Xenopus tropicalis: one gene and its partner. The protein of the gene in region 1 purifies or fractionates together with the protein of each later gene. This does not show direct contact. Links are inferred from orthologs where the notes say so. Each region holds a gene or a part of one and is shown on either strand. Other genes may lie near its edges.

What was found. The genes of interacting proteins can lie anywhere in the genome.
Region 2: the proteins of iqgap1 (region 1) and actb purify together in Homo sapiens (affinity purification with mass spectrometry; 4 studies listed by BioGRID and IntAct, with this or other methods). This does not show direct contact. The link is inferred for Xenopus tropicalis from reciprocal best matches to the Homo sapiens genes IQGAP1 and ACTB.

The regions. Positions count from the first base shown.
Region 1 is NC_030679.2:106,845,782-106,850,347, reverse strand, and holds part of iqgap1 (ras GTPase-activating-like protein IQGAP1), read left to right. Parts: intron 1-168; coding exon 169-256; intron 257-492; coding exon 493-705; intron 706-2,273; coding exon 2,274-2,440; intron 2,441-2,805; coding exon 2,806-2,928; intron 2,929-4,171; coding exon 4,172-4,280; intron 4,281-4,566. UniProt on the Homo sapiens protein: Plays a crucial role in regulating the dynamics and assembly of the actin cytoskeleton.
Region 2 is NC_030685.2:46,572,212-46,576,910, reverse strand, and holds the start of actb (actin, cytoplasmic 1), read left to right. Parts: upstream 1-1,367; 5' UTR 1,368-1,393; intron 1,394-2,428; 5' UTR 2,429-2,434; coding exon 2,435-2,557; intron 2,558-3,546; coding exon 3,547-3,786; intron 3,787-4,161; coding exon 4,162-4,600; intron 4,601-4,699. UniProt on the Homo sapiens protein: Actin is a highly conserved protein that polymerizes to produce filaments that form cross-linked networks in the cytoplasm of cells.

The DNA.
Region 1 (4,566 bases):
AATTAGCAGTGGATGTTTTGTATGCTTCTTTGCTGGCTAAAATAAGCTGTCAGAGGATATGCCCTGCATGCCATCAAAGTTAGGAAAAAATATAAAGTATTCTCAGTGATATCTCAAAGTCCTCTTTTATCAACACAAACAAAACAGTTTTTTTTCTTCCTAATATAGCACAAAACGCCTCATTGTGGATGTTATTCGGTTCCAGCCTGGAGAAACCTTGGCAGAAATCTTAGAAACTCGAGCAACCAATGAACAGGTAAAAAAAAAAAAGCCAAGTGCGGCTATGTAGTCAGAGATGGATATTTGTGCACCTTTTGTATACATTAAATATAATAATTGTAGGTGTTTGACAAGTGTAAGTTACCAGGTTAATTTTGTACTTTGTATGTGAGAAAATGCAGTTTTGAAATGTAATCAGCATCTGTTCTATTGTCAAATGTGGAAGCATCTGCCAGCAAGTGCTCTACAACTTGTGTTGTTGTCCTAATTCAGGAGTCAGATCATCTGCGAGCCATGCAGAGGAGAGCTATGAGAGATGCAAAAACCCCAGATAAGATGAAAACCGCTAAGAGCCTAAGGCAAGACAGCAACCTAACCCTTCAGGAAAAGAAGGATAAGATAAAAGCCGGTTTAAAAAAGCTTGAAGAAATGGGTTTGGTTAATCCAGATAATCGGTACCAGGATCTCATCAATGACATTGCCAAGGTAAATTGACATGAGTATATATTAGATAGCATGGAATGGTATGGTTGTATTGGCTGGACAGAAAATAAAGAGGATTTACAAATGGTAGTATTTCATAAGTGGTTCTCCTTAAATTCAAGTAAATGGCTAAATCCATTGCTAGTTGTAGCATTGGTTGCTGAGCTAATGTAACTAGTTCTTAATGACTATTATTATAAGAACCATGGTATCAATAGCAGCTTTACCGTCAGTAAAAAAATATTTTTTTTGCCTTTGCTGATGCTAAATCATCAGAAATTGTGCCCCCTGAAGCAGCACAGTGGTAGTGCATTAATCAATGAAAGTGAAGGAGGTGGGCTATACTGAGGGAAATGAGAAGGCAAGCTGTTGCTGCAATGGTCTTTGGATTATGTGGCATAGGGCTGCCTAATAAGGGAGCTCAGCATTTCTCTACCATTGGAATAACTAAAATAACCAAGGTTTATTAAAGGAGAAGGAAAGGCAAAATCTATTAAGCACACTATTAAAAAGTACTACTACTGCTGTGTAAAATCGCTATATTCCTGGCTTGCCTAATGAAAGATTTACAAAGATACACATGCTAGAACTTACATGCTTGTTTCAGTGAACGGCGCCGCCATCTTATCCAGCATGTCTGAATGGGCTGAAAAGTACAAGCCGGCTCCCTGCTCCTGTTAGAAAGTTTCTGCAGCTCCACAAATTCCCCCTCCATAAACAATCTCCCTGGCAGCAGCAGCCCGCCCTCCCCCCTGCTTGTGAGGAAAAAAAAAAAAAACGGAGCTCTCTGCTGTGCACTGAGCATGTCTGTGTCCTGGACAATCTGTGTTCAGTGAGACAGGAAGCTGCACAGGCTTAGAGCAGGTACTGTATTTACTGACAAGACTTTTCCATGTCAGAGCCAGATGAAGCAACAGCACGGTGAGTTCAGGAAATATGTTAAGGACTGTGTTAAGGCTAAGTTATTGAGCTCATGTTGTTTTTAGACTTTCCTTCTCCTTTAAATAAACTTTATATGTTTCTAGAAATAAGTGTCGTTGTTCATATTGCAACATAACTGCAACAACTGAACACTGTTTCAACCATGCACAGATTTAGTTGGGGAGTAAATATGGCTCACTTGACCCTTACCAACTATTTATTCACATATCCCTAACTGGCCTGCAATCCCTACAGATTCTGGTGTGTCTACAGTGAGATTATATCTGCTCATGCGCATCAGGCATCTGCAAATATCAAAGTGAGAGTTGCCACAGCTCTCCCTATGATGATGACCAAATTGGACAGTACAGGTATAGGACCTGTTATCCAGAATGCTTGGGACCAAGTGTATTCCGGATAAGGGGTCTTTCTGTAATTTGGATCTGCATACCTTACGTCTACTAAAAAATCAATAAAACATTAATTAAATCCAATAGAATTGTTTTGCATCCAATAAGGATTATTTAAATCAAATACAGATGTAAAGACAAATGTTTGAAACTTATATATTTTACATTGTATAAGTAAACAAAACCCTAAGTATAGTCTTCAGTAGGCATTTCTGTCTAATTCTTGTTTCTGCAATATAGGATATCCGTAATCAAAGGCGATACCGCCAGCGACGAAAGGCAGAGCTTGTGAAGCTGCAGCAGACACACACAGCGTTGAACTCTAAGGCTTTATTTTATGAGGAACAAGTGGATTATTACAAGAGTTATATCAAAACCTGTATGGACAACTTGGCAAGCAACCGCAAGTAAGTGTTTGAGAGCAAATGCTGCTTAAGCTTGTTAATACAGTATGGCTAAATGTCAGCAAACACATGTCCATATAGAAAAACATTTCTTCGTTAAGCTTTTTGTTATTTTTTCATAGCACAATAAGATAAAAATTAGAAAAATAAAATGAATTAGAAACCAGACAGCATGGATGGAGGAGGTTGCCTTCTCTGGCTTTTAACATGGTTTGTTAAAAGCAATTTTTCTATGAATCTACATTATTAGGTTTACATCAGACTCACTTTTATGGAAGAATAGCTATTATGCTTTTAAATTTGGATACATAGTTTTGCTGCTGTTCTATGTTTTCAGATGACTTTTGCATCTTTTACCGTTACACCAGGTTGTCTAAGAAACCAGGCCAAGCTAAAGGGAAGAAGAGTAAAAAGATATCACTGAAATACTCTGCGGCACGGCTGCATGAGAAAGGGGTACTGCTAGAAATTGAGGACCTTCAAGCAAATCAGTAAGTTCTGTTGACTCTGACAGTGGCAATAGAAAAAATTGTTGTACTATAGAATAAGACATTTACAATGTAAACAGTGTTGTAAGAATATATTTGCCAAGAACTGGTTGCCCCAAAGGGGAAGATCACTCATTACTTGGCTGCTACATTCCCTGGTTTGCATGAGGACAACAAGGATACACACTGCATTTTGTGGGTTCTGAGTACAAATATGTATAGATTCAGTACCACAAAGCACCACTGTAGCTATTTGTATGCAGTGCAATGCTTGCAATTAGAAACAAACAAGTTTCTGTTAAAGAATATTACTTAGATGCTTATTTTAGCAAATTTGGAGAGTGGAGAATATTTTTATAATGTATGTAAGGAAATCTGAGCCTTGAAACAAGCTTTACCTTGTTGGTATAATAGGGCTGCATCTAGATTCAAAAACCTGAGTATGCCCAGTGGTGAAGATGTGCCATACCATAACATGCACCTGCTTGATTTGTTATCCTCCTCTTATACAGCTGCTGCTGAATTTGACACAAACTTTTAAACGTATAAACATTTTTCAATTACGTTTCTTTATTACAGAGGTTTATCATTGCATCACAAATTCCTCCAAGTCCCTGTAACAGTTTACATGACTTGTTTACTTACAGTCTTGCTCTCTGTAGTAGCATCTCTCTTTAAAATGCAGCTTCTCAAATCCAGTCTTCATTTAATTACATAATTTATATTCCCTTGCCTTGAGCAACACCCATCTTCCACTTCTAGCCATATTGCCTTCCCTCTGGGTATTGCATCACAGCAGGTTCCTAGTTCTGTTGCCATTTTCAAAGATTGCATCATTTTTTTTTTAAATCTGTATTAGAGATGTATACTGCATTAGATGGTATTAAAATAAACATAAAGCTTTTAGCTCAGTTAGAAATGAATTAGTATAATCCAGATTTAACTACTTAATCTTTCCCTCCCCTGTTTCATATTAAGTAACGTGAGCAGAAAGGAGCATGTGGAAAAAGTTGGGGTAAATATGTGGATAGTTATTTTAAAAGTAGAAAACTTAGAGAAAATGTATATACATTTTCTCTAAGTTTTCTACTTTTAAAATGTACTAAATACTAGTTTGTTAACCTTCAGTTTGGCATCATTTATTCATAAACTGCCATTGGGGCACACCCATACATCATTCTGTGACAGACATCATCACATTCGCCATCTATATGTCATTTGGTTCCTTATTCTTCTTCCTGTGCAGATTCAAGAACGTGATTTTTGAAATCGCTCCCACAGATGAAGTTGGTGACTTTGAGGTGAAAGCCAAGTTCATGGGCGTTCAGATGGAAACATTCATGCTGCATTACCAGGTATGATTTTGACAACTATCCATACTGAAACACAAAAATCACAAACAAATAAACTCCCACATTACACCAGGGATCTTTAAAATCTACATCCTTAAAGGGGAACAATCATGAAAAATGTTTCTATACTATTGAAAATATAAAGTCTAGGCAATTTATAGCTTTTTAAAATTTTGCATTGTTACAAAGTTATGGCTAAATATTGAAGCAGCCTCCCATCCCCCCCTTCCCAGTGATTTTAATTGCTTACCTTTTTACCCCTGGCTGGTGCTCCACACCACAACCACAC
Region 2 (4,699 bases), on another chromosome or scaffold:
TTTCACGTTTGGAGCCAATCAGGTCTCCAGCTCTAACATCTGGCTATTAAGCTCTTTTACCCCTAGCTTTTGTGAAACCACAACTGTGAAGGGATCCTATCTAGCTGAGGTAAAGGACAGTCTATAGACCACTACAGTTGTAGGACTTTTGGCTTCAGGGTAGGGGATAAATAGGACTCCCCTAGACCTGATGAAGAGGGCCTAAGACACCTGCCCCTTCAGGCCTCCTCGCTGGGGGGGCATTCATTCTTTCCATTTTAAAGGAGGGTCTAAATTTGCTGACCCTTGCATTCTTTTGTTTTTTTTTTGCACCTGGGTGAAAAAGCATGTTCTTCAGGCTTCAAAAAACATATGAGTGAGATTGGCAGGGAAGGTCATAGTCATAGTAAACTTAGACTTTGCTGATAAACTTGGTCTTTGCTGATATGAGGGTTGGTTACTTGGGGAGCTCACATTCCAGTTACTGCATGGGGCTCCAAATGTTTTACTTTAGATTAGTTTAGATTTTTTTTCCTTACATACGTTGCATTTTATTCTCAGGGGGACGGATGATCTTCGACAGTATCAGCTTAACCAATAAATACGTTTATGAGTACCAGAGGTCATTGTAGAGCTGTAAACTGTAAAGTTAAATAACAAATGGTTGACCTGCATAGGAAATGGAAGTATGGACAAAGAGCAGTATCGCTGACTCAGAGCAGGGAAGGCGATTTAAAAGTGTTTATATAAGGAAATATGTGCTATAATGATACTTTTCTTTCCCTTACAACACAGCCATACATGAAGAAATAACTAGGCACTATCACAATATGCTGGCGCTAGAGACAAGAAGTGCAATCGAGTCACTGTATTCATGGATTGTACGCAACACAATGCAGTGCGTCACTGTAACGTTACAAAGCTTACTGTCTCGGCAGGCTGCAGAAATCCTAACGAACTGCATTTGGTCCTGACATTTCTGCAGACATAAACGTGCAGACTATCTGCTTTGCAAAGCCATGTTTTAAGAGAGTAAATCATTTCAGGCCAATAAAGAATATAAAAAGAAAGAGTTCTGCACCGCGCCCTTTATTATACAGCAATTAATGGAAAGGATAAGGCGTGGTATATCTAAGTGTAGATTTAATGAAACATATATATGTATATTGATATCTATGTATGTACGTATCTGTGTATATACGTATCCGCATCCTAGCTAGTAGGTGTAACTGCCTCACTCTACGCGCCCCCTTCGCCCGCAGTTCCTACAGCCAATCAGCTTCCCAGTTCCTGGAACGCTCCTTATATGGTGCAGCCGGCTGGGGCGCGCAGCATAAAACCGGCGCCCTAGCCCGACAACTGCTCAGTGACCCGCCCGCACAGAAACAGGACAGTGTGTGTGTCGTACTCTCAGGCAAGTAGCGCCGAGCCTGCTATTGTTGTGCTTTTCCTCTGCTATTTCCTGCTTCTATTCGCCTATTTTTCTCTATATATTATTAGAATAAGCATGATTTGGTTCTAATTGGCTATGTTTTTCATAATGTGCTTGAAATAGTTGGTAGCTTAATGTAGCGTTATTTACTTGAAGGTAAGACTTGTTAGTAGACAAGCGTGAAGCCTGGTTCTGGAATTGTGCTAAAGTTCAGTTCCTTATATGCTTAATTAGATCTTAATTGATAAAGGACACTGGAAGTTGTAGGTTGTACATACTGGAGAGCTGGGGAACCATTTTTCTGTTACAGCAGGTTTAACTTGTAAGTTGCATTTAAAAATAGGGTTTTGTTTTTTTTTTGTATCGTTTCCTCTTCTGTAAACTGAGCCCCCAATAGCAGCGCCGCTTGGGGATGTGCGATTGGGCGGTTCCCTGCCGATGTTAGTGTGAGGCTGCACACAAAGCTACATATTGTGTATAAGTGTGTGATGCAATCTGTGTCGGAACAGCCTTTTGCTGTCTAAAATATATTGGCGGTAGTTCTCTCCCGCTTCGGTTTAGACTTTCCATATGCATGTATATCCGTAACTAGAATACAAAAGCGCAAGTTACATCTTATATATTTATTTTGTCCTTGCACTGGTAAAAACGGAGTCACACCTGCAGTATGTGATTCTGTCCTGTAGTGTTGCCTTCATGAAACATTGGGAGTGGTAGTCGGTTGGTTCGATTGCCTAATACCAGCAGTGACTTGTTTCTTTGCCACACCTTCACTATCCATGGCTGGATGGGAGGGGTGCTTGTGTAAATCTTTGCTGTTGCCTTATTTGGTAATACAGAAAATAAATCGATTTCCCTTTGTCTAAATCTGTACAGAAATGGTGCAAACCCCTGCGCCCTCTTGTGACAGACCTTATGAAATGCAAGTAATGGGCAGGAAGCGTCCTTGTGGTATATACCAGCGCTCATAATTTGGGTGGATAATTATCTCAATTTTATTTATTTTTTAAATTTCAGATTACAATGGACGACGATATTGCTGCACTGGTCGTTGACAATGGTTCTGGTATGTGCAAAGCCGGCTTTGCAGGTGATGATGCACCCCGTGCTGTTTTCCCATCCATTGTTGGTCGCCCAAGACATCAGGTATGCCCTTTTCATGCCTTTTTCATTTCATGTCTAAATAAAACCTAGAAATAAAACTAGTAAAGCACCTCTAACAAATCAGTGTGTTGTCCCAAGGAGGTAAAACATTTTTTTTTTTTTTTTATGTATTTAACTGTTAAAGGTGAAACTAATCTGGGGGCAAATAAAACTGCAATTCTGCATGGGTTATAGGTATGTTGGTAACAATATATTTGCCATTGAGTGTTTTTAAACCATACACGTAAGGATAGTTTCCAAAAAGTGTTGCATAAGATGATGCAATTTTTTTTATTTTTTTTTTTTTTTTTACTCTTTCAAATAAACACTGCAGGCAGGAATAATCACATAAATAGCTGTGCCTAGGGCACCCCCCAACTCTTGTGCCCTAGGCTTGTGTCGGTTATTCCTTTAAGCTGGTTTTGGGCACTTCTCGGCAAGGCTGAAACTAGGAGTAGGCATATTTAAAATAAACTCTTTATACTGTCCACACAAACCCTGTTTATTGACTTATGCTGTGTAAGTGCTAAAGCCAGTTACATTTTCCAACCCTGCATGAAAAGAATTTCTTTTCAGAGTGTAATGTGGTTTAATTTAAATGGAAAAATATTTTAATTAAGTGCAGGTTAAGTGTGTGTATATAGATATTTAATATGATATATATATTGTACTTTGCACACTACATTTCCATATTCTTTGCAAATTGCCTACTTCTGTTTATTTGTGAAATACACAGGGGCGTGGTTAACATAGCAAATGTTCTTGCATACTCTTGTTTCCTGTAAGCACAAGATGACAGGAAGTATTACGAAATTAGAGGGCCCTGCCCAAAAGAGCTTTTACTCTAGAATTTCCTCTTAAAGTCTGCATTATGTGAGGTCCATGAAAATCCACTTTATTCATTCCATTGTCTGGCTAGTATTGAATTAAGGCATGCTTTTCATTTACTAAATTACTTAATTTAGTCCAAATTGTCTTACGCTTTATTTTAGGGTGTCATGGTTGGAATGGGACAGAAAGATAGCTACGTAGGAGACGAAGCTCAAAGCAAAAGAGGTATTCTTACACTCAAATATCCTATTGAGCATGGCATTGTCACTAACTGGGATGATATGGAGAAGATCTGGCATCATACCTTCTACAATGAACTCAGAGTGGCCCCAGAGGAACACCCAGTGCTGCTGACAGAAGCACCCTTGAATCCCAAAGCTAACCGGGAGAAAATGACGCAGGTATGTTACCTGTTTTCTGGTGTGAGGGTTTGGGTTGTGGGTTTTGTTTTGTGTTTTTTGTTTTTTAATTATATAATTGCTATTCCTTACAGGGCTGTCCTGGCCTCAAAGTTTACTGGAATCTCAAAGGTTTTTTTTCAGTATTTGCCTGTTTTACATCAAGGGTAGAATACTAACAATGTTAGCGTTGTGTGAAAAGTGCTGAATGATGGCTTGTTTTTCAAAGTTCACTTTGCTTGTGTTTTTCCTCACATTGGCCCTGCCTAAATTTGTGTTGTGTGCAGCAAAATCAAATGCTGTTCTGAAACTACACATGCATGAGTTTTGGATGCCTTTATGCAGGTAATGTGCTAATTGCCTTTTCAACCATTACAGATCATGTTTGAGACCTTTAACACTCCAGCTATGTATGTTGCCATCCAAGCTGTGTTGTCCCTGTATGCATCTGGTCGTACCACTGGTATTGTCATGGACTCAGGTGATGGTGTAACACACACTGTGCCAATATATGAAGGTTATGCTCTACCCCATGCCATTCTGCGTCTGGACTTGGCTGGACGTGACCTGACAGACTACCTCATGAAAATCCTCACTGAGAGGGGGTACAGCTTCACCACCACAGCTGAAAGAGAAATTGTTCGTGATATCAAGGAGAAATTGTGCTATGTTGCTCTGGACTTTGAGCAGGAGATGGCCACAGCTGCTTCTTCTTCATCATTGGAAAAGAGTTATGAGCTGCCTGATGGACAAGTTATCACCATTGGTAATGAGCGGTTTAGATGTCCAGAAGCACTCTTCCAGCCTTCTTTCCTTGGTGAGTGAATTTGTAGCACTGTCTTAATGAGTGGGTTGGCTTATTTTTATAGATATTTTATATATTTTTAACGCCCTAATGTTTCTTTACACCTTTTTA